2 linked regions of the Bombyx mori genome follow. The protein of the gene in region 1 interacts with the protein of each later gene in a pairwise test. Links are inferred from orthologs where the notes say so. Each region holds a gene or a part of one and is shown on either strand. Other genes may lie near its edges. The genes, in order: exocyst complex component 8 and WASH complex subunit 1.

Region 1 (3,933 bases):
AGTAAGAAGTACCTTTGGAATAGCTTCAAGTAAATGACTCGAGGGCCTAATGCATTAGATACGGCGTACTCGCATCGAGTGACATCGTCAAGCAGGTATTGAAATCCCTCAGGATGCCTTTTTTATTATAATTTATTTAAGTTTTATGACCCAGCCCATTACCCTGCCTATTTCTGCTGCAAAGCACTCATCGCAGTAGATTTATGGGTGGCAGAATGTAGGGTTAGCTCGCACGGGTAAGGGCCATTATTAAAATCTATTCCTGCCTCGAAGGTGTCATGTGTTCCAGTTTGAAGGGTGTGACAGCCATTATACAATACAAAGCAGACTTTGATACCTTAAGACTTATGTTTCTCTAGGTTGTTTCAGATTGTGATGTCTTTAACACTACTTAACACCAGGTGGGCCCTTAGCTGAATTTTTGGGTGGGTAGGTGTTACGTCTAGAATAGTCTAGATGTTACTTTTCATAACATCCATTAATAAGTTGGATCCAGTTTTATTACTGGTGGTAGGGCCTCTTGTGAGTCCGCGCGGGTAGGTACCACCACCCTGCCTATTTCTGCCGTGAAGCAGTAATGCGTTTCGGTTTGAAGGGTAGGGCAGCCGTTGTAACTATACTTGAGACCTTAGAACTTATATCTCAAGGTGGGTGGCGCATTTACGTTGTAGATGTCTATGGGCTCCAGTAACCACTTGACACCAGGTGGGCCGTGAGCTCGTCCACCCATCTAAGCAATAAATAAAAAAAAAAAATAAAAAAATTAATAGTATAAAAAATACTAATACATAATTACATAACAATATTTTTTTAAATCCCAAATTGAACGAAGTTAATTTAATTATAAAAAAATATATTAAATACATAAGTGGACCATTTATTTTGACTCTAATTGTACGATGGGCAGATGACCCCAAATCTTTTGTCGAAAGCTCACAACTCGTGCCGATTACTATACAGTATGCGCGCGAGTTCATGTACATCGGGGCCGGAGGCGACGCGCAGGGGGCAGCTCGCCCCGCCTCCCCGCGTTTGTTTGACGTCTAGTGTTGTCTTTGACAGTTGTGACGCGCGCTTATCGATACCAAAAACTTACGCTAACGCTATTGTGTTATTTCATGGTGAATAAACCACGAATACTCCGCTTCCAACAAGTTCAGGTAGAAAAAAACCTACACTGATTCGGACTCTGATCTGTTGGTTGTCTTTTCATCTCATAGTAGTTGAATTGGAATTTAAAAAATATTTTTCTCTATTAGGAAGAAATAAGTCATTACTTATCGCATTTATTTTATAATTTGCGAAGTGACCTGGTTACATTAAACCAAATTGACAGCTGTTGACTAAATCGGTAGTTATTATCGACATTACCATAATTAACTAGGTCACAGCACTACCGCATTCCTCAGGATGGACAAGCTCGCGCGTCTACTGTACATAAAATTTGAGAAAACGTTTTGATAGCAACGTTGGCAGCGCGTTGCCAACAAACTGACTTTAAAAGAAGCTGAGATAACAAAACGCATTTTTGACATATCGTTTTGATAGAAAACGTCCTGTCGTTCGATACCTACCTATAGAATCGAATGATGTGCGAGCCAGTGTTTTGTGATAAATACGAAAGAAGTATACAATAAATACATGTGCAACGATGTCCGAGATAGATATGGATAAGTTTGCTGTCCCAGACTTCGTCCCCGAACGTTACGTAAAAGACCTCGCTAGATCCTGCGTCGGAGGGGAGGAGCTACAGCAACAGAAGGAGAAAATACAAAATTTAGCCGAAGAAACCGCAAGTGCCCTAAAGAAAAATGTCTACGAGAATTATATGCAGTTTATCGAGACTGCGACGGAGATATCCCACCTCGAAACAGAAATGTACAAGCTATCGCATTTGTTAAGCGAACAGCGTTCTGTGCTGACTGTGCTCTCCCACGCCTCAATCCTCGGTAACGAGAACGGTTTATCACGCGAGTCTCTTGATAATCACGACGTCGAGGCTGAGAGGGCAGAAGAGGAACGAAAAAATAAATTAAATCTCATTACAGAAAAGGTAGAATCATGCATGAATCTGTTAGATGTCCCAGACCGAACTCTGCTTCATGAAGGTGACTTGCTAGAAATAGATGCAGAAGAAAATACTGCATTACAAAGAATGCATGTATATTTATTTAATGACTGCCTTATGTTAACATCCTGGATTTCTAACAGACGTGGTCCAATGAGATATAAGTTTCAAGTGAGTTACCCAATAAAGAATTTAGCAGTGGTGAATGTAAGAGATTTAGGAACTGTGAAACAAGCATTTAAAGTGTTAGCCTTCCCAGACACCAGAGTATTTCAATGCAATAGTTTTGCGATAAAAAAAGATTGGCTAGACAAATTTGAGATAGCAAAAAAACTGTATATTGAAAAAGAAAATTCTAAACAGAAGAAAAAAGATAGTCAAGAAAAATCAAAATCTGAATCTATTGAATCACCGAGTCTGTCTGTGGAAGAGATGCCATCACCCCAAATTACACCATTGCCTGAGTGGTTGGCTGATGTTACTGAAGAGCTTGATGTTTTGATTGTGGAGAGACATTTTCAAAAGACCTATGAGTTGATGGTTTCAGCTCAAAAAGCTTTAAATACTGAAGATTTTAAAAACCATCCACAAAGGGTTGATATATTGAAAAAAATAGAACAGAAGCAAAAGAGTTTAATTGAAATATTATTGAAAGATTTAGATGTAACACATAATTGGAGTTTGCGAGGAGGTCTCCAATCAACTAGACAACCGGTACTGATACTCAATAAGTTTAATATGACCAGTCAGGCTTGTGACTTGTTTTTGACGATATGCAGTTACACAGTCAAAGTTCATGTGAAAAGGGTGCAACTGGAAGGGTCAATTAACACTTATGTCAAACAAGTGGGTGAAGTGTTTTTTTGCTCATTGAGTGATGCCTTAACAGAGTTTATTTCACTATTTCCTAAAAATAAAATAAGTGCTTTTATAGTCTGGGCTAGTCTGCAACTTAGGATATTGATGAGTCAGATTATAAAACAAGTGTTCACACCTCAGTGTGCATTAGATTCCGTTCAGGATTGTGTTGAGAGTCTAAGGGAACAATGTACATTGTTTTGTCAATTTGGTTTAGATTTAAGATTCCAGTTGAACAGTTGTTTGAGAACACCAATAATAAAAGCTTTGAGAGAATATAAAGAGAAGACTGTTGACTCTATGAAAAATAAAATCACTGAAGACAAATGGACTCCAGTGAATATGCACACCAAAGCAGGTGTCAATAAATTCCTGAAACAAATGGAAACTTTGGGCCTTATATTAGCTAAGTATGTAATTAATGAAACATGGGTAGATTTATCAAGTAGTACCATATGGTTTACAAAGTCTATTGTCACTATACAGAAAATAGGTCTCCAGTTAGTGAACAAAGATATGATGGATAACCTTGATGAATACATTTATACAATATTCAATTCATGGCTTGTCCTCGCATCAGTCAACGATATTAGTTATGCAAAGAAGAATTTCAAATTCATTTTAGAAACAGTGATGCCTTTAATGCTTAGATGTTATAAAGAAGAAGTTGGCTATGATAATGAGAAATTAGTAGCTTTGGCAAAGAACTATGGTGTCAGTATTACACCATCCAAAAACATCACAAAATACACAAGTAATGAATATTTATGAGAATAGTCAATAGTCTATAAATAAGATGTATGAAATTATTTATATTATGCTGAAGCTTTAAATTTGTAATATAATAGAGAGTAAGCAAGCAGAATTATGTTAGTTTATATAAATACTGATCAAATTAAATTTTATGTATATGCAAGTTACGAATATTAAGTTTTAATACAATCATTATTTATGGTGATCTGTTTAAGTGTTCTTTGAAATTGTAAAGACAAGAATAAAATATATTT
Region 2 (3,625 bases), on another chromosome or scaffold:
AAATAACTACATTGTCGACTCTAATGCGACTAACGTGTACCACATTCTGCATCCCGAAAATGCATGATTGCTTTTCGGAAGAAATAGATAGGATAGTGGTACCTATCATACAACCGCCTCACCCCATCCCCAACACAAAAACGCACACAAAAGACCATGAAGAATATAGAGAAACTATCGAATACTGGCCCTATCTCCCACGCTACACAAAGTTAAGATGCATCTCACGATCCAAGTACTAAGCATGTACAACCTCTCAAGTTCTTAATATTCCTGTATGGCGGTGAGACATGGATCATTAAGAAAGCAGACATGGTCTGCATTAGCGCCTTCGAGATACGATTCTGAAGAAAAAATACGGAACATTCCTTGGCTCATCGTACTAAGGTTATTTTGTACGCTACCATCTTTGGGGTACTAAAGGACTTTGAGCACAGTGCTAAGAAGAAGTGGCAAACTTGAGAAGCTCATGGCCGTATGTAGGGTTGACTTAAAAAGACTCACACAACGAAGCCCGCCGCGTTAAATAGGTAATATAACCCAACTGCAAACCGATTACTTACTTGGAAAATTGGACCTGGGATTGTTTAACTTTATTGGCATTCATTAGTTATATAAAAATAATCACAGGATTTATAATAATACACATGGTCAAATTTTGTAGTTTTTAGAAATATTGTTATTAATGATATAACCAATCAGATTTCACACAAATGACCGAAAGGTCAAGGAGAGAGAGAGATAAATATATGGACATTCAAATTAATCTTAATGTTTTTGTCGTGTTTACTGTGTACACAGTTTCAATGGATCGATCCGTTGTATGGCGCGTGTATGTAAGTAATTAATACAATTACGGTGGCCCGTCAAAGGTTAAAATACAACACGGTTTGTTAGCATCAACGGTAAAATAACGCAAAAAACGTTGCGCTTCCACGGTTTTTATTGCTTTAGAATTGTCTTGTACACTGTTTCTCAACCTGAGAGTCCTGTAGCCCCCGCTTTTAGTTTTATGAAGGGCCGCAATATCATGCAAAAACTTTGAAAGAGGTCGAACATTTCCTAAAGTTGCGCAACAAATAAAATAAGTTTGGTAAGTATGTACACGATTATCCTCATCAATACTCGAAATTTGTATGCAAAAGTGTTCTTTTGTCCTAGATTAAATTAATCAAATATGAGAAATCTTACCGTTTTGATGGTGTGAGCTCTACTTCCTTCATAGGCGGCGGCGGGGGCGGAGGCGGTGGCGGGGGCGGCGGTGGTGGCAACGCTTGCACACTAACAGGAACCGGTGACGGAGGAGCGTCCGGTATATCTGGTATAGCCACGGGCTCTGGTTTCACGTCAGGTAGTTCCTTTAGATCGGGCAACTCTGGTAATTCCACCTCAGGAATGGCGATGATCGGCGTGACCGGTGACGTCACGACAGACGGGGCTATAGACCCTTCAGTCGCGATAGTATATTGTATGTCCTCAGCGATTCCTGGAAGATGCGGTAAATCCAACGGCATCTCCATTTCGGGTACCTGTTTAATTTTTATAGTGTTATAAAACGCTCCGATTTGTCATAGCATCCATCAACCGAATAACATTTGCTACTTTCACTTACCATTCCCATCCCAGGTGCGTACATGTATTCGTCTACTTCGCGCTTCAAGACGTCTTTCTTCATTATAGACGAAGGTGCCGCTTCTATTAGACTCTTATTTTCAATATTCGATTTCTTGATGACCGGTTTGTAGGTTGGTGTTTTAGAGGTAACACCGAAGTAAGGGCTTTCATCGGTGTTAAATACTAAAAGTTCACCGATGGTTTCCAGGTTATCAATAACAGCGTTCAAACTAAAATCTTCATCGGGCTTGAGTGAATTAGGTTCCGCAACTTTAACATGATAGAAGTGTAGCTTCTCCTACGAGATCAATTAATGACAATAACAATTATGACTCGAAATTTTGAACGAACATTATTTCGACAAAGACAAGCGTTCTTACCTGTATTCTTTTATCATCAGATGGCCCCCGAGTTTTAGCACTCAGTTTAACATTTTTAGGCACATGTTGATAGCCTTCCAAATCAAAGACGGATCGATAATGCTCGTGCGTTATTGACGACGGGTACTTTGCACTCGAGAACACTTTGATGGCTCTCTGCATTCCAGTCAGTTTTTCAACTTTAAGCCTAGAGTTTTCGATGCGTTCATTCAATTTTGCGGTTTTATCTACATTCTGCTTGATTCGCCGCGTTAAGCGAGAGAACACGTCTTCCACTATCCCATTGAGATTATCAATAGTGTCAGCAATCTGAAGGATGGCTTCTTCAGTGCTCAAGTCGCTTGGCACAAGATTAATTTTGTAAATACCTTCCATAATTAATCTTTGTTTAGCGAATACTTTATATCAAGATCTGTAACAAACCAATTAGTCCATAAGATTCTGTTAAAACCGCTTTAAATTCTCCTGTTTTTAAACATATGACTCTTACCTATAAAGCTTCCTATGATCACCTAAAATAAATTAATAAGGCACAAGAATTATCACTAGACACATTCATTCCCAAATGTAAAATAATATTATGTCCAATTTTTATAGCACGTTATAAAGCTCCTAAAGTCAATTATTTACATCTTGGTTACTAAATTAAATATATATATATATCACTAATGATTGACTCCGTTTTTCGATGAATTTAATCTAGGCGAATCGGCGAGTAACGAATGAATGTTGTCATTGGCTGGATCGGTACTCCATGAAAATCTGCAGTACGCGTCAGGCGACATTGCAGGATCCAAAATAGCCGATTCTTCGCCACAATGAACACCTGATAGCATATTATTCAGGTGCTTATTAATAACAGCGTCACCTTGGCGGACGTAGCCGGTAGACGCTGGCGTCTTTAATGGCACTGTACTTCGGGCAGGATGTTTGTGTCTGGGCAAGGAATCTAGAGATTGCAGTTGAATGTAGCTGCTGTCTGCAGTGTGTTTCGCTGGTGGCAAGGTTTGCATTGTTGGCAAGCTTTCAGGACCAAACAGTTTGTTCGTTGTCTGCCCCAATTTCGGGAAATTCATTGCTGATATAGTTTGAGCACCTTCAGGGTGCACATAGCCTCCTGCTGATTGTGAACTCGTTACGCAAGGTTGAGCAACACGTGTCGTAAATATAGGTGGAGACAGAGCTGCCATTACATAACTAGAGCTGGCACTGAGTGATGAGGGTTGTGGTGGGTTTGTAACGCCTGCTTGAACACTTTGAACATATCCTGTATTAGGACTCACTACAGATTGTTGCACATAGCCACATGGATTTTTCTTGAAAGTATTATCATTAAAGAATGGTGACGGTATTTGTGATGTTTCAGTTTCGGAATTGCATGATTCGCCATCGATGTTACTGTCAGCTGTTCTCGTAGGTTCTACTTCAAGATGTAGTGATGAATTAGATCCATCATCAGATGAGGAGATTTGTCTTTCTACAGGCCCATGTGATGTATCTGATAAAGCTGTACTATCAGTGTGATCACTAGAAGCACTGTTATTGTTTTCTTTCTGTTTCAATTCTGAAGATACAGTGGTTCTACTATTTGGTAATAGCAACATTTCGTCTGAAGATGGTTTCTCATCCTT

What was found.
Region 2: the proteins of exocyst complex component 8 (region 1) and WASH complex subunit 1 interact in binary tests that used the Homo sapiens proteins (3 or more experiments, as listed by UniProt). The link is inferred for Bombyx mori from reciprocal best matches to the Homo sapiens genes EXOC8 and WASHC1.

Annotation. Positions count from the first base shown.
Region 1 is NC_085122.1:6,419,849-6,423,781, reverse strand, and holds the start of exocyst complex component 8, read left to right. Parts: upstream 1-1,392; 5' UTR 1,393-1,651; coding exon 1,652-3,697; 3' UTR 3,698-3,933. UniProt on the Homo sapiens protein: Component of the exocyst complex involved in the docking of exocytic vesicles with fusion sites on the plasma membrane.
Region 2 is NC_085123.1:3,000,976-3,004,600, forward strand, and holds part of WASH complex subunit 1, read right to left. Parts: exon of another isoform or gene 2,485-3,625; intron 2,407-2,484; 5' UTR 2,370-2,406; coding exon 1,995-2,369; intron 1,913-1,994; coding exon 1,613-1,912; intron 1,530-1,612; coding exon 1,192-1,529; intron 1-1,191. UniProt on the Homo sapiens protein: Acts as a component of the WASH core complex that functions as a nucleation-promoting factor (NPF) at the surface of endosomes, where it recruits and activates the Arp2/3 complex to induce actin polymerization, playing a key role in the fission of tubules that serve as transport intermediates during endosome sorting.